Elephas maximus indicus: one gene and its partner. The protein of the gene in region 1 interacts with the protein of each later gene in a pairwise test. Links are inferred from orthologs where the notes say so. Each region holds a gene or a part of one and is shown in the gene's direction. Other genes may lie near its edges. The genes, in order: DLC1 and RASA1.

The links.
Region 2: the proteins of DLC1 (region 1) and RASA1 interact in binary tests that used the Homo sapiens proteins (3 or more experiments, as listed by UniProt). The link is inferred for Elephas maximus indicus from reciprocal best matches to the Homo sapiens genes DLC1 and RASA1.

The regions. Positions count from the first base shown.
Region 1 is NC_064840.1:73,076,973-73,086,187, reverse strand, and holds the start of DLC1 (rho GTPase-activating protein 7), read left to right. Parts: upstream 1-5,267; 5' UTR 5,268-5,473; intron 5,474-5,914; exon of another isoform or gene 5,915-6,317; intron 6,318-9,215. UniProt on the Homo sapiens protein: Functions as a GTPase-activating protein for the small GTPases RHOA, RHOB, RHOC and CDC42, terminating their downstream signaling.
Region 2 is NC_064820.1:93,611,834-93,620,636, forward strand, and holds the start of RASA1 (ras GTPase-activating protein 1), read left to right. Parts: upstream 1-4,608; 5' UTR 4,609-5,224; coding exon 5,225-5,742; intron 5,743-8,803. UniProt on the Homo sapiens protein: Inhibitory regulator of the Ras-cyclic AMP pathway. Stimulates the GTPase of normal but not oncogenic Ras p21; this stimulation may be further increased in the presence of NCK1.

The DNA.
Region 1 (9,215 bases):
TTAACTGCCCTGGAGTCGGCCTCTGACTCCCGGTAACCCCCACGCACAACGGAACAAAATGCTGGCCCTGTGCCATCCCCAAGACCGGTTGCAGGTCAGACCGTTGTGATCCATAAAGTTATCATGGGCTAATTTTTAGAAGCAGATCACTAGGCCTTCCTTCCTAGTCCCTTTTTAACACAGGAGGCTCCGCTGACAGATGGGTGGGGACTGCACCTGAGGCACATTGGCTCGGAATTGAGTATGAGTCTCGCATACGCATAAAACCTGTTACAGTCCAGTCGATTCCGACTCATAGCAACCCTATAGGACAGAACTGCCCCGTAGGGTTTCCAAGGAGCAGCTGGTGATTTGAACTGCCCACCTTTTGGTGAGCAGCTGTAGCACTTAACCACTGCATCACCAGGGCTCCTGCATAGAAGGTGAGAACTCTTATCATTGAACCAACATTGCCTTCAGAACAGTAACTATACAATGTATATGTGTGAATGGATACTAAGCATGTTTTTGTATTCTGAAGGTCTCCAGTGGTTCCATTTTAAAGGGAAAAATACAAATATATATTTACATTTTAACAGAAATGGAACAGACATTCTTTCAAGGATATAAGCCTTTGTACCAACTGTGTGGCCTTCTGATGATAGGCTGAGAATGCTGCTCCATTCTTTATAGTAGATAGAGCACTTGTTAAGGAGACAGGCAGAATGACCATCAAAGGGCAGGGATGTGGTTGGAGCGGAGATCTGACTGAGGAGAGAGCATCTGGACCCAGCATTGAGGAGTCTGGACATAGGCAATCTCACCTGTTTTCCCAGGTGAGCACAAGGTTAGGAGAGAATATTCAGCCGCCATTTGAAAAGCTACAGGAGAAGCCAGACGGAGTGTGGGCTCAAGCCAAATGTGAGGAGGAACATTTTTTGAGTTGACTAAAGATGTAGGAATATTTTCGAGCCATGATATGAGAATGTCAGGGAACACTATGGTAAAGCTTAGCAAATATGACTGGAGTGAGACATACGGTGATGTTAGCTTCAGTTTTCATACAGAATGATTGTACGATACGAGCTAGCCCTCTACTAGATGGGCACCCCAGACCTCTCGATAATGGAACCAGCCTTGCATGACTTGTCATCTTCATGTTTCTGAGAGTAACCTAGCCGTTGTGGACAGGCAGCGAGAGCCATCAGCTTCTAAGGTCATATATATTCAAGTAACTTTCTGCGAATAGAATTTTTTTCTTTTTCTTTTTGCTAAGTATATTCTTTCAAAGCAATTGGAAATTTATCAAAGTTTTTTTTTTTCTTTGTAATCATTTCTGGATTGTAATAATTTTCCGCGAAGCAAAGCAAGGAATATAATAATCCAAGAAACAGGTATAATTGGTTTTGGGAGTTTCAGTAATTTTGCTAACTTGGTTAGTTTAACATCAAACTTACATAATTGTGTTCCTTTGATAAATACTCTCAGATGAATACTAAATGGCTAGAAAAAGTGGTGTGTCAAAACTTTAATACTGTTGATTAGAAAGACTAATAATACATAAGCAGATTATTAACTATAAACAATACAGTTGTATGGTCATTTTTTTCTACCTCTGTGTGTGTGCCTATCAAGATCAACTTACTGGATGAAAGTTCATGTTGAAGCTACTGAAAAATTACTAGAAATGCTGTCAAATGAATTATATTTTTATTGCTTTGACATACATGTGATAACTCCAATAAAATAGAAGCTAAGTGCCATTAAATAGGAATTTGTAGATGATCAATGTTCACAGACAAAGCCCTCCTACATTTGTTTCACCAGCTGTACATGCGTGGACATTTCTAAAGTGCTTTGAAGGCTTTTGTTCTCTCTACATATTAATTACAAATTCATTACTATCATGAAACTAACCCATCATAAAAATATAAAGAATAAGAATAGAAGCCTACTTCACTGAAGAGACTGGAAATGTCAAATGTAGGTACTGAAATTATTGATGAATTTGTGAAAGAGTAAAACATCACTTTCAAAGATTGATCTCACTTTGCAGTCAAAGGATTATTGGACTGCATTGAAGTCATTGAACAATTCTGTTAAAGAAGTCCAGATTCAGATTTCCTGAAAATAATTGAGGAATTACTGGATAGACTCTCATAAACCAAAACCAAACCCGTTGCTGTCAAGTTGGTTCCGACTCTTAGCAACCCTACAGGACAGAGTAGAACGGCCTCGCAGAGCTTCCAAGGAGCACCTGTTGGATTAGAACCACCAGCCTTTCGGTTAGCAGCCGTAGCACTTAACCACCACGCCACCAGGGTTTCCTAGACTATCACAGACAGTGTTTATTGCTTAGATCATGGTACGTGAGAAGACAGTTGATCTTCAAAATAACTCTGAATCTTCCTTACGCCAGTCCCTTCTCTTCCCACAGAGCATGTGACTGCTCCACTAGCAAAATTGTTCTACACGTATACATTCAACTCAGGGGTCAATAGGCGGGTAGTTAGATAGATAAATAGATACTAAAAATATCACAGAAGAGAGCAGGATCACAATGTACAATTATTTAAATGATAAAAATAATAGTACCTAACACTGACCGCCGCGGAAACACCCCTACGTGGTGCAGTTCACATTCTCGGGTGCTCACGGAAAGGCTGGAGGTTTGATTTCACTCAGAGGTGCCTCGGAAGAAAACCCCAGTGATCCATTTTTGAAGAAATCAGTCCTTGAAAAGCCTATGGAGCACAGCTCTGCTTTGATACCCACGGGGTAGCCGTGAGTTGGAATCAGGTTAAGGGCAACTGTTTTTAACCTTGAACGCTGCACTAGTCAGAAAGTCTTAAGGCTTTATGTAACTATCTTCTGTAATTTTGAAAGCAAAAAAAAAAAAAAAACTTAGTTACACAGGCTAAAACTGAAGCTTCTAGAGGTTAAGAAATTTGCACAGAGTCACATGGGATGCTAGCCTGGAGCCAGATGTCTATCTGGATGTTCTGTTTTCAAGTTCTTAACTGCCTCGATAGCATACTTTATTAGCCGATGGGGCTTGGAGTAATAGGCACACCTTTGCTGGAGTAAGGTATTTAGATTTACAAATAAAAGGAGAAGGGGACAGATACTTCGGAGCTCTTTCATGTGCCTGACACTGTGATAAGAATTAAGGAAGTCATCTCATTATTTATCTTTATACTCATATTTGGTAAAGCCTTTATGAGTGTGTAAGTTCTGGGATTTGTCTGGAGTCAAGCAACTGAAAGATGAAAAATAAATGAGTGATTAAAGATTGAGGAAGTAATCCTTCTCAGCGTAGAATAAAACATGGCATCTTCCTTGATTAGAGAAAAGAAACTGACTAATAAAGAGTATCTGGATATCTAAAAAAGGTATTTTATAACTGTATGTGAACAGGGTTTTGATGTTTCCTCAGACCAGGATAAACAGAAACAAAGCTAAGTTGTGTAAGTGGAGAAAGGTTATACTATTCATCAGGAGAACCTAGCTAAACAGCATCAGCAGGCGACTGATATTGATTGAGTTCCTACTATACACCAGGACTAGAGGCAAAAAAAAAAAAACCCGTTACCCTCGAGTAGAGTCCAACTCATAGCAACCCTATAGGACAGTGTCGAACTGCCCCATAGAGTTTCCAGGGAGCACCTTGTGGATTCAAACTGCTGTGCTTTCGTTAGCAGCCAAGCTCTTAACCACTATGCAACCGGGGCTCCAGAGACAAATATAGAGATACATAAATTATTTTAGGAAGAAGTTCCATCAATTCTCATTCCACGCCACTCTAGTATTTTTCTTAGGAAAACAAGTACAAACATGTAAATATATGTGGATATGAATTTAATTGTCTCTAATCTGTGAGTTATGTAGAATTGTCCCTATGGTTAAAGAAGAATCTGAAACTCAGAAAGTTTAAGACGTCTTCCCAACTTCACACAACAATTAAGCCAGAAGCCAAGAGAGGCAGAACTGTTACAGGGGGAAAAGAAGCACAAAACGTAGAAGACCTGAGTTGCAATCTGACCTTGGCCACATTCCATCATTTGTCCGTAAGAAAATTACTTCTACAAATTTATAATTCTTTATCTGTAAAATGGGAATGCGTGCAAAGATTAAATGGGCATGGTGTTGGAGGAAGTACTTTGAATATGAACATAAATAATCCTTCAAAGAATTTATGAAAGAATGTACTTCCTTCTTGGCATACATTTGAAAGTTAAAGGGACTCTAAACAGCCATTTTTCTGATCAGTGATGTTATGGTCTAAGCTTTGAGAAACTGCTTCTGCCGTCATGTTTTTATTTGAATACTTCTCACCTTCAAATTCATGTGCCATATAAATCATTATTATTATTTGCCATTTAACATATCTGTAAAGTTGTCCGTGCCCTGCACTGATTTTGGGAGAATTTAATTATTCATTAAGAAGGGAGGTAGTAGCTATAAGGCCATACTTCTTTAAGTTATCACCTACCCAACATTCTCAGGGTGTACTGAGGAGATGGCTCAGTCCTATTCAGATATCTGCCAACATTTACAGAAATTAGAGCCAACTGGGAATAAAAGTGAACATGAAAGCTACTTAAATTTCAAAGAAGTGCAGGAAAGATCTTAGGGCCAATAGGTTTAATGTTTCTTGTCTGTCTTTGAGTGTTACCCATTTATCATACTTGAGCTGGAATTGTCCTTGTCCCTCCTATTATTGAAAATCCCTAGGAATTTAGGGACAGACCCAATAATTGGATTGGTGATCACCAATCCCTGAAAAAAATGTTTCAGCCATACATAACAGTAGACTGTTGATTGTAAATAAAGTAGAAGGGGAAAATTACAGAGCAATTTAAACTCAGCAAGATAATTAAACTCAGAGACACTGTTCTCCGCTTCTCCGGTCTAAACAAAGAAGTCCCCCCACTGACCTCTCTACAAACTGGATGTCCCAAGGCCATGTCCCTCTGCTCTCCTTCCACTTTGCCTAAGGAGTACGCTGGGTCATAAGGGAATGAGAATGGTTGTGACTTCTTCCCTGAAACGGCTCACGCTTCCTCTGCTTTTGTATTTGTGACATTTTATTACAAGAGGAGCTAACATCTATTATTAATTGATGCACTAATTAAAGCCATACTTGCAGTTTCCATTAGCTTATTCCCTAAATTCTCCGGAGTTGGCTGTCTGGTTTTAATCAAAACCAAATGGTAGTCCAAGTTCCCAGCGTGGAGCAGCTAGGAGGAAGTCATTCAGTGGAGGCACGAGAAAGCAGAAAAGATAAACAGATGATGTTCACAAAAATCGTGTCGGGCATAGGGTGTTGGTACCGTGAGCTGCTTTAGAGACGTGATTCAGAGACTCTGTCGTGTTAGGTGGAAGCAGTCGCAAAGTATTTAATGTCAGCAGGATTCTAATATGATCAAGATGGAGTCTGTCTCCTGCCTTTCCAGCCCTGGATTTGTGTAAGTCTGGAGGATTCTGACTAGAGGTAAAGCTGCTTATGCCACAACCCACAACCACTTTGATTCGTGACAGCGATTTGGGATTGGAGAGATCTTGAAGAAAACGTTGGATTTACTGGGTTCTTGGAATTGTAGATTTTCTCAGGTGCTATCTGTAGAGCAGCAGCACTTTGAAGTTTTAAGGAGTGGGAAAAGGGTTTTAAAATTTAGAAGAATTACGGTATTAAAACTCTACATTCATCTTGCTCTCTTAAAAGATCTTTTGAAAGGAGCACTGGCAAAGGTATTTTGGCTAAGCTGTGTATATGCATTGAATGTAGTGGAAAGGTTGTAGCTGGGGAAGAGAACTGTGTTTTCTTTCTTTCTTTTTTTCTTTCATCAGCAACGTGGGCTAGAAAAAGCTCTAAGACTTTATGACTCTCCAGCTAATCACCTCAAGAGCTTTGACAAACTCACTTCAGTTCTGTGTAAAATCAGAATTCCTAAAACGCCCAGCCGGGCTCTGCTCTCTCTCGCTCCCCTCCCCAACTGCAGTCTTTCTCACATACACACTACTCAGAGGCAGGAAATACTTTCCAGGCAATCTGGGCCTGGTTGTGGAGGCCCCTTTCGCAAAACATCAGTCTGAATTGAGTAGACAGAAGTCACCAGGAACGCCTTGACAGAATCCTGCTTTAGCTAAGGCTCCCTCCAGCTGCGGAGGGTGTTTTGGTTAGAATCACACACTGCGTAAAACTGCTTAGAATAGAGCCATGATCTCAACCACGAAATGTGAACTTGTATTCTGGAGAAACTAACGGGACGGACTTCTTTCATAGCCCGAGTGTTGAACAGTGTCTTGCCTGGGCGTCTCAGCTTCTCGTTGTCTAGGTAAGAAGGTCTGCTGGGCTCTGTCTTTATACTTGGAGGTAATCGTTGGAGAGGTGGAAAGACTGAGATAAATGTTAGCACCTTGGACCCGAGGGGTGTCTTCCTAGGTTTTTGAGTTAAGCCATGAAATCAGAAGTGAAAAATGTTTACTAAGTAGAAAACTGTGAGTCAAATAGTTTTAGCAAAATGTCATTTCTAAAACAGCCTCCATATAGATTTTACTCTTTTCCTCCATAAAGTAAGATTTTATTTTGATCCCTTTTTATTCTTAACTTATTTATTAATTGAGCTATAAGAGCAGTTTTTCGAACACATGAGATAAAATGTAACGCATATATGTTCTAACACGTAGGGATGAGATGTGAATAGATTCCATTTTTTTTTTTTTAAACCGTCTTTTGCCCACAGGGAGAGTAGATATTAGTAGGGTAACTGCTTTAATAATGAATCTCCTAAGACAGCTGATTTGTGTCGCATTTACGATTATGACTATTGGGTTCCTCAATATCTCTGCATATCAGTTTCAACTACAGGTCAAGCTGTTTGTGTAGAGCTTAAAAAAAAAAAGTAACAAATGCATGAAATTTCAGAACTTATTTCTGCCCTAACTAGTATTTCATCTGAGTTTCAGAAATTGAAATATCACACTTATTATTTAATTTATATATTTCCTTTTCTGAATTCACTGATCAGGTTGTATTTTCTGTGGATGTTTTTGAAAGATGAAAGTAAACCTTAATGACAATGCCGTTCATTATTACTGTTTTAGGACAGCCGGAAATCTCCACAATCATATGAAAGATGGATCAAGCATCCATGCTTCATATAACCATAAAACTACATGTCTAAAGGACTATGGTGCCACCACATCTACCTTAAAGGGTTAAATATGCAAGATATGAGGAAAGAAACTTTATATTACTGAAATAGCATGGACTACCAATGCATAGCATATTGTTACATTTATACCTTCAAATATTTAGAATAAACACCATTATTTTCTGGACATAACATGGAATGGTGTAAAAGGGAGCAAAGATTCAGGCACATTACCGAGTCAGTTAGAGTAACTCATCTGTTAGTACACTGAATGAAAGTTGGAGAGCTACTTTGACAGCTGGGTCATAAAAAAATCAAATGTTTTAATGATGAGCTTTTACATAGTACAGGGTGGCCATTTACTGGATAAGTTAATTTATTCTTAAAATCTATGCTAGAATAACATATTGATATGTTTTAACCGTTCACTAACAATTTGTCATGTTGAAACTTTCAATCCATGAGAAAAAGGATCGATGTATCTATAAATGTTAAATATATGTATATACTGACTTATCTACAGTGTAGCTTAATAAAATCCTTGAAGAGAATTTCGGGGAAGGAGAGAACGTAAGAGATCATCTTTTCCAACAGTGCCCTCAGGCTTCTGACAAGGGGACTGAGGAATGGCATTCTTAAGTGACCTGTCCAAGATCATACCACTCGCTAGTGAAGAGAGGACAGTGAAACACAGTCCCCCAATTCATGGTCCAGACATCTCTACAGCACAGCGTGTTGCTCTCAGATAATGTGCAAAATGAAGTATGAGCGTGTCCAGGAGAAAAGGCTACTTCGCAGACAGAAATTGGAGTGCCTCTTAAAAACAAAAAAAAAAGGTTTAAAGCTGCCACTAGTGTTACTTACGTGGGAAACAAAAAAATCAAGGTTTCAAAAAAAAAGCAAGTTTACTAAGTAATACAGTTTTCTCAAATGCACAAGTTTTCTTAAAAATATTTACTGTGGCTTTAGCCAGCACTGTAAATGAATAACTTGTTTTGTGATCGTTCTGTCACATCTCATGTTCGTGCCAGGAAAATCGCTCCATGTGCTAATAATTATATTAATTTTAAACTGGTGTTTCTTAGAAACACAGGGCTAGACGAGAGTTTGACTAATTCATATCCTTGTATTCAAATGGTATCATAATAAAGCCATCCCAACCAGTGACTTTCAGAGGAGATTTTGCTGCCCTTTCCCCGTTGGAAACTGTTTAAGAACCTCATGTATCCAGACTTTTTTTTTTAATCTAACCTAAATCGTGATTGCTGCAGCTTATTTCCAGTTTTTTGAGTTTTTTCCTCAGTGGAAATATAAAAAGTCTAAATGGACACATGATTGCTCAAGGGTATATTTCCAGGTCAGATAAGCCCATTCCTCTCACCTTCCCTTCTTCAGCTTATTTTCCATCCTGTAATTGGTTTGTATCTCTATTCTGAGCCTTCTGCAAGGTCCTGTAGTTGGAGAATATAGGATGTGTCACAGTATTTAAATAATGCTTGGGAGAGTTGGGCATTTCATCTGAATCATATTTCACCCATGACAATATAGGCTGCTATGCAAGCTGAAACACTACACTTTCCAAGGCAATAGCCCTTCTCATAAAACTAATGTTTGCCATCTCCAAAGCACGCTGTTTCTTTAGGGGGAATGTGTGTGATGATGCTTTTTTCTTTTTTCTTTTTTTTCTCCTCCCATATTCATGAACGAGGCTGTTTCCCGATGTTACCACTTAAAAGATACCCAATTCAACACTTCCAGTGTCACCATTACTGGAATGAGGAATTAATGTAGCAAAGCCTCTGTGTATCGCATGATTCCTACAGGACCTTGAAAAGACAACACATTTCATTTTTAATTAAAGCCATTAGACCAAAAAAGGAGAATTTTTCTGGCCCTATCCAAAACTTCTTATACCATATGCCTGCTACAAATACTTTAGGCATAGTTTAATCTTATTTATAGAGGGTTAGGTCTTATAGACTTAAAATAAGTCTAAATTGGGTCATCTAAAATTTGCCTTTGGTTTTTATTTTATCTGTTTCTTGGAGAATGAACGAAGCGCTGTCAGTACTATCTTAC
Region 2 (8,803 bases), on another chromosome or scaffold:
GTACTGCCCTATAGAGTTTCCAAGGAACACCTGGTGGATCCGAACTGCCGAATTTTGGGTGTACAGCCACAGCACTTAACCACTACATCGGCAGGGCTTCCGCATAAGAAATAGTAAACCTCAAAGTCTAGATCTGTCTGATGGTCAGAATATTTTGCAAAATATTCTTAAAAAAATAAAATATTTTGAAGATACCTTGTCAAAAATGTGTGGTAATCTCTTTGGATGAAAAGGACAATGCTAATTCTAAAGTTAAACATAAGCTAGATAAGATAGCCATACTAGGTTGATTTATGAATAGACATAGGAGGTCCTTCCTACTAGCTGAGAAATTGATTTCCAAACATGTGAGCTGATCTAACCCAGTATCTATTGAAAGGGTGGAGATCTTTTCAAAGCAATGTTTTAAAGATGCCTAGCACTGGGATAGGCAGTAGAATAGACCATAGAATGCCTTTGCAGTCTAGTCTTGTAAATAAAACCAAAACCAAGCAGGTTGTCGTGGAGTTGATTCAAAATCATAGCGACCCTATAGGGCAGAGTAGAATCATCCCACAGGGTTTCCAAGGAGTGGCTGATAGATTTGAACTGCCAACCTTTTGGTTAGCAGCCCAACACTCAAACCACTACACCACCAAAAAAAAATAATAAATAAACCAAACCCAGTGCCGTCGAGTCGATTCCAACTCCTAGCGACCCTATAGGACAGGGTAGAACTGCCCCATAGAGTTTCCAAGGAGCACCTGGCAGATTCGAACTGCCAGCCCTTTGGTTAGCAGCTGTAGCACTTAACCACAACGCCACCAGGGTTTCCACTACGCCACCAGGGCCTAAAAATAACTAGAAAGCAACATAACGCAGTATATAATTGGTGTCAGACTGCATTAAATATTGGCTTTTAAGTGTGTAAGAATTTTCAAAAAGGGGAATTCTGCAAATTATACCTAAGCTCTCGGGCTGAATATAGGCGGTATGTGAGCACTTACAGATCAGTTGTAACCAAGACCTGCTAACTGGCCAGTTCAATGCCTTATATTGACTGACTGATAGTGGTGACTGAAGTGAACGCATTGGAGGTGTGGGATGCTGTTTAGGATTGAATTGTGTCCCCCCCAAAATCCTAACCTCTACAATTGTGGTTATAATCCCACTTGGGAATGGCTTTTCTTATGTTAATTAGGCAGTATTAGTCTAGGAAGGAGTCCTGGTGGCAAAGTGGTTAAGCATTTGGCTGCTAACCCAATGGTAACCCATCAGCTGCTCCACAGGAGAAAGATGTGGCAGTCTGCTTCCATAAGGATTTACAGCCTTTGAAATTCTATGGGGCAGCTCTACTCTATTCTATAGGGTTGCTGTGAGTGAGAATCCACTCGATGGCAATGGGTTTGGTAAGGATTTGATTAGTGTAGAGTGTGTCTTCAGTCAATCTGTTCTGAGATAAAAAAGAGATTAAACAAGTGAGCAAGGAGAGATGGAGGAAGATAGATGCTACACCACACAAAGATCACCAAGAAGCCAAGGAATAGAAGCTGAAGAGATAATGACCTTCTCCCAAAGCCAGCAGAGAAAGTCTTCCCCTAGAGCTGTTGCCCTGATTTCAGACTTCTAGTCTTCCAGTTGACTCGATGGCAGCAGGTTAGCCTTCCAAACTTGAGAAAATAAATCTCTGTTTGTTAAAGCCACCTACTTGCGTTATTTCTACTATAGCAGTACTAAATAACTAAGAAAGATGCTAACACACTGCAGGCCTTCAAGCCAAGGCTATATGAAAACTTGTTGGGGATGCTGTACTTGGAATTTATGCATTAGGCAATAGCTGGAGTAGTTACTTCGATGGTCTCTTCTGAGGTTCTAAAATTAAAAAAAGAAAGAAAGAAAAAAATGTTATCAGAGGACCACCATAAGTACCGGTAGTACTTCATTATTCTCTTAAGTACTATAAACTACTTCATTCTGCTCTTTTTCATTTCCTAACCTTCTTTCTGGGCTAGCATAGAATTTAGTAACCCAACACCTACAGCTCTTACCCATACACTTAATGAATGCCATTGAGTCTGCTTTCTTGTTCATTCTTTCTTTCAGAATGTGTTTAGGTATTGCACACCTTCTTGATTAGTGGCGTAGTGGTTAAGAGTTAAACATAAACTAGATAAGCTAAGCTACGGCTGCTAACCAAAAGGTCGGCAATTCAAATCCACTAGGTGCTCCTTGGAAACTGTGTGGCGCAGTTCTACTCTACCCTATAGGGTTGCTGAGTTGGAATTGACTCAATGGCAATGGGTTTTTTTTTTTTTTGGTTTCTTGATTAGTATACTATATTCTAGAGCAGTGGTTCTCAAACTCAATTGAGCAAACAGGTACTTGGAGACTCACTAAAGGAGTATAGATTGTTGAGCCCTCTGGCCCACAGTTCAGAGGGCCTGATTCAGAGGGGTCTGAAAATATGCATTTCTAGCAAGTTTCTTGGATATTGCTGGTCTGAGGTCACTTTGACAACTATAGTTCTGTAACTATAGTTCTGGTGACTGACTAGTCCATCTTCATTCTCCCAGGTGGTACACTGGGTAAGAGGTAGAACGATTTAGGAATTCTCAGAACTACTATTTAATCAAGTTTATCACTGACTTGATAACTGGCCTACGCAAACTTCTGAAGTAAATGTACAGAGTGTACCTTGTCACCTCTTTTAGCAATCTTTACTCTTTTTCCCAGGCCTCTATTACAGCCCCCCATCTACAATCTGCTCCTATGCTGGTTTGATTGTCCTTATCAGAAAAAATATTGATCTCAAAAATCAATATTCAATGGTATTCAAGGTTGATCCATCCAGTACAAATCTAAAAGACAAGAACAATATATGAATCTAAATGGGTACGTTATCAATCGCATTAGTTTTCTAGGGCTGCCATAATAAGGTACCACAAACTGGATGGCTTAACACAATAGAAATTCACTCACAGTTCTGGAGGCTAGAAGCCTGAAATAAAAATGTCAGCAGGCCATGCTATCTCTCCTAGCTTTTGATGGTTTTGGCAATCTTTGGCATTCCTTGGCTTGTAGATACATAACTCCAGGCTCTCTCCATTGTCACATGGGCTGTGTCTACATTTCCCTCTTTTTATAAGGGCAGCAGTCATATTAGGTTTAGGGCCTACCCACATGCAGTGGACCCTCATCCTGATTATACCTGCAAAGACCCTATTTCCAAATATGGGCACATTCACAGGTTCTGGGTGAACATGATTTTTTGGGGGGACACTACTCAACCCAGGTAGATGGTGAGCAAAAAAGAGGAAGAACCCCAACGAGATGGAGTGATACAGTGGCTGCAGCAATGGCCTCAAAAACACCGATTGTGAGGATGGCCCAGGACAAGGCAATTTCGTTGTAAATAGAGAAATGACAGCACGTAACAACATCCAACCCAGTACACCAATAGTGTAATCTCAAACAATGGAAATGAGTCCATCACATACATGAATGCATACCACAGCTTACATACATTCTAGTACAAAAAGCAAAACAAATCCTCTCTCTTTGGCCATACTAAGGGTGGGATTTGTTAATTGATAATTTTTAAAATTACATCTATCTTTTTTTTTTTTTTGATACTTTAGGGTCTCTCTGGCATTTGGCTTATTGAAGGTGCTGTGTCAACTCACATATGCACCATGCCCTGCAGTTTTCTGCACAAGTGTGAGGAGAAAAGCATGGTTGGTGTCGGCTGTGGCTCCTCCTTCCCACACCCCTTCCTTAGTACTCACGAGACTTGCAATGGCACAGGTGAAAGTACGTGTCTGTGTGTTTTAAAAAAAACAAAACATATATTGGTAGACATCTGACTTCACAACCACATTTATTTCTACCAAAGCTCCCGTTATTCCCATATAAAACCAAAAAAAACCCAGTGCCGTGGTCCTGTTTATTTGTTTCCTTCTTTTGGGTACCAGAAAGTCTTTTTTTTTTTTTTTGAGTTTGTAATAGTCGTACTGTGATTTATATCATGCAAAAAAAAAAAAAAAAAAAAATTAACGGTACAGCCTGGGTCTTGGCAGCAGCATCACAAGCCCCTCATCCACCCCCACAGCTGGCTGCTATCTGGGCCTCCGGCTAAGGCCGTTTTATCCACGGGTCTGGAAGTAAGGGACTGGCTCTGTGGCACCTTCCTTTCCCTTTCTCATTCCTTCCTCTCCACTGCCTCCTTGTCCCTCTCATCTCTCCCGTCTTCAAGGCGCTCAGGGGCCTCGCCTCCTTTACCCTATCTCCTGCAACCAGAGAGGACCGCCACGGGTTAGTTGGGCTTGCGCCGCCGTTCTGGTAGGCACGAGGCCCCTTACGCAGGCCACCCGCCCATCAAACAAAGCCCCGGGAGGCAGGCGCGCGCCGCCGGCGACACCCAAAGAAGCGGTCGTACCGCCACGCGCTCTAAACAGAGCGGGACAGCGAGCCAGGCCACGCGCCGCGCGCCCCCGCCGCTTCCTTCCCTCCGGACTCTTCCTTTTCCTCCCTCCAGGCCCCGTTCCCCCCGCCCCCGCGCCGGGAACGCGCCTGCGCAGACACTGCCCTCTCCCTCCTCCTCCGCCCTTCCTTCCCTCCGTTCCTCCTCCCCTGTCCCGCCTTCCTTTCTCTCTCCTTGGGTTTCACTGAGCTCTAGGTTGTGAGCAGTTCAGTTCATTTCCCCAGCACCCCGCCCCCCTTCTTCATTCTCTCTCCACCCCTCCCATCTCCAGCCCGGTGGAGGATGAAGCGGCCACAGTGGCCCCAGCCCCAGCAGCAACACCGGCGGTGGCTTTGGTGGGGGTGGCGGGAACTCCGGTGGTGAAGAGGCGGTGGTGGCGGCGGCAGCAGTGGCTGAAGCAGTGGAAGCCGCCCCAGCCGCTTCCCCCTTGCTTCCCTTCCTCTTTAGTGCAGCCAGGAAGTTTTTCGCTTCTCTGCATGTGTGTGTGCGTGCGTGTGGGTGTGTAAAGTGAAGGTTTGGGCAGCGTTTGTGCAGGCGTAGGATTTTTTGCCCACTTCGCTTCCCGTAACCCGGGCAGCTCCAGAGCCTGGGCTGTGGCCCGAGGAGGGGGCGCGGCGGCGTCGGGCTCTCTCCTTTTGTTGTTGTTTCCTCCGCCTGGGGAACTGAAGGGGGAACGCGCCTGGGTGGGGCGACTCGGAGCCCGGGCCTGGTGGCCCCCGGGGCTCCCGGGCAGGCAGGGCAGGGCAGAGTAGAGCGGGCTTCAACATGATGGCGGCCGAGGCCGGCAGCGAGGAGGGCGGCCCGGTGACCGGCGGGGCAGGAGGCGGCGGCGCGGCGGCAGGCTCGAATGCCTATCCGGCTGTGTGTCGGATGAAGATACCTGCGGCCCTGCCTGTGGCATCCGCCCCTTATCCTGGGCTGACCGAGGCTGAAGTGGTCGGGAATCTGAGTGGCGGAGCTTCATATGGGCCAGCGTTCCTAGGAGCCGGGTCTGTGGTGGGGACACTGGGGGGAGCCGGACTGACAGGGGGAGGTGCTACCGCTGGTGTGGCTGGTGCAGCTGCCCCCGGCCCTGGTGGGGACATGGCTCTCACCAAGGGGCCCGCTTCGTTGCTTGCTGAGACCCTAGGGCCAGGCGGCGGATTTCCCCCTCTGCCGCCGCCGCCTCAGCTGCCTACTTTGGGCGCGAGCCTGGCGACAGTGGACGAAGGTGACTCTCTGGATGGACCAGAATATGAGGAAGAAGAGGTGGCCATCCCCCTGACCGCTCCCCCAACTAACCAGTAAGTCAAGACTGCTGTTGAGGGACCCGGGAAGCGGCCTCCAGGAAAGAAGTGGGGAGTAAAAGTGGGGAAACGTATGGTGTTCTTTCACCTGTGATTTGTTCTGGAAAAAGTTTTTAAGTTTCAGGCTCCATGTGCGGGGATTTAATATAATCACCCATCTTCCTTACAGGTATATCGTATCTCCTGGCGCCTTCGTATATTTATTGCTCCTCTGGGAAGATGGAAAGTTTTTAAGATGGGAAGCATGGAAAAATATGTATTCATTGAGAACCGGATATGGTTCTGCTCCTTCTAAATTGAGGTGGTGTCCCAGGATTCAGCTGAGTTTGCAGCTACCAAGGCAGTCATTGACTATGTTAACCTGTGTGTGTGTTCCCAGAAGCTTTGAATACGAGCATTTGAGTATTGGGTTAACATCATTCGAGAATGCATTGGTCAGAAGGCTTTGTTTTTGTTGAACTGCAAATCCCAATTTTTGTCTGCTGAAAACACAGTGATATAGAAAAGTCTCTGGATCTTTTAGGCGGTCAGAGAGAATTAGGAAAGCAGTTCTGTGAATTCCAGGTGTGATTAAGGGTTTCATACTCCAACGATGTCTGTAACTTGTTTCATAGAGTATATGTCACTACCAGTGTAATTCCTTTGTAGTTGAGATTCTGTAAGTACAATACTGAAGCAAAACAAAATTAATAGTGCTTCTTATCAGCACTTTTTGTTGGTGGCCAATACAATATCCTGTTTGAAAATTAATTTTAACAGTTGCTGTAGAATATATATGACAGATTTTTTTTTTTTTTATTGTTAGTACCTTCCCTTTGTTATTTTCATAAGTGGACTTTGGTATGTGTTTAAAAAGGTGGACCTTGATGAGACCAAGATGTTGAGATGGGAAATGGTAATAGCTGACAAAACTTGTTTTGTAGACTCCCCACATCAGTTTAATTGACAGAATTTCAGAATATTTGATGATTATCCCAGGAAAAAAGATTTGGTTCATATGATGACAGTCACTGGACAATCAAAAGCCTTCATCAGAGAATTTAGAAAGAAGAAAAAAAAAAAAAAAGAAATTAGCAAGAGATATTGTAATACCAATCTATTTTTGACTTAAGGCATTATGTTTTGATATTTAAGGTGGAAAAGTAAATTAGTCTTATTTATGCCAGTTACGGTATAAGAATGTTGAATATTCCTTTTATACTATTCCATAGAGTTCAGTTTTTTTTGTGTAATTTTATTCTGGCTTATGTCTGTGCATTGCAGATATTTTTGGAGGGGGTTATGGCTTTATTAAAAATTCCAATTTTACCCTGAGGGACCAGATTACTGGGCTGAGGACTGTGGGGACCATGGTCTCCAGGAACATCTAGCTCAATTGGCATAACATAGTTTACAAAGAAAATGTACTACATTCTACTTTGGTGAGTAGCGTCTGGGGTCTTAAAAGCTTATGAGCGGCCATCTAAGATGCTAGATTGATCTCATCCCATCTGGAGCAAGGGAGAATGAAGAAAACCAAAGACGCAAGGGAAAGATTAGTCCAAAGAACTGGTAGACTACAACTACCATAACCTCCACCAGACTGAGTCCAGTACAACTAGATAGTGCCCAGCTACCACCACTGACTGCTCTTACGGGGAGCACAAGAGAGGATCCTGAACAGAGCTGGAGAACAATGTAGGATAAAATTCAAACTCACAAAACAAAACAAAAAACCAGACTTACTGGTCTGACAGAGACTGGAGAAACCCTGAGAATATGGCCCCCGGACACCGTTGTAATTCAGTACTGAAGTCACTCCTGAGGTTCATCCTTCAGCCAAAGGTTAGACTGGACCGTAAAACAAAATGAGACTAAGTGGGCACACCAGCCCAGGGGCAAGGACAAGGCAGGAGGGGACAGGAAAGCTGGTAATGAGGAACCCAAGGTCTAGAAGGGGAGAGTGTTGAGATGTTGTGAGTTTGGCAACCAGTGTCACAAAACAATATGTGTATTAATTGTTTAATGAGAAGCTAGTTTGCTCTGTAAACCTGTCTAAAGTACAATGAAAAAAAGAAAATACAAAACTCAATTGTATTTCTGTATAAGCAGTAAACAATAGAAAACTGAAATTTAAAAGATAATACTAGTTACAATAGCATCAAAAAACATAAGATTCCCAGGAATAAATCTAAGCAAATGAGGTACAAGACCTCTATGTTGAAAACTACTAAACATTACTAAGAGAAATTAAAGACCTAAATGAATATGGAGATATGTCATATTTATGGATTGGAAGACTCAGTATTGTTAAAATGTCAGTTTTCCCCAAACTAATCTCTAGATTCAAAAGACCCCCAACTGTGTAGGCAGAATAATGGCCCCTGAAAGATGCTCTGAACCTAAAATCCTTGAAACCTGTGAGTGTATTTTGCCACAGTCTAAGAGGGAATTAAAGTTGCAGGTGGATTAAGATTGCTAATCAGACGACCTTAAAATAGGAAGATTATCCTTAATTATCCAGTGTAATCACAAGAATTCTTAAAAGATGGAAATGGGGACAAAAGAGTCAGTGTCAGAGTGATGTGATGTGGGAAATTCTCAACCAATCATTGCTTACTTGAAAATGGAGGCCCATAGCCAAGTAAAAGGCAATAAAATAGATTTTCCTCTACAATCTCCAGAAACGAATGCAGCCCTACTGACAACTTTGTTTTAGCCCAGTGATGCCTGTTTTGGACTTTTGACCTCCAAAACTGTCAAATAATAAATTTGTGTTTTAAGTCATAAAAAAAATTCTGGTCTTACAGCACTACTTGCACATCATCAGGCCTTTTTGAAAAAAATCAGTTAAGTATTAAGTACCTAGTATGTGCTCAAGACTGTGGTTGTAATAAACCGTGTAACTTTTCATACCAAAGAAATCTAGCTTTATGCCTATTCTGCAACTTAATTGAAGTAGGCATATTTAGGCCATTGTAGTTCTAAATTATTTTTAATAAGCATGAATGAGTACTTAGGAAAAATTGTGAGAAATCCATTGTATGAGATTTTCATCATTATGTATTTAGAATAAAAT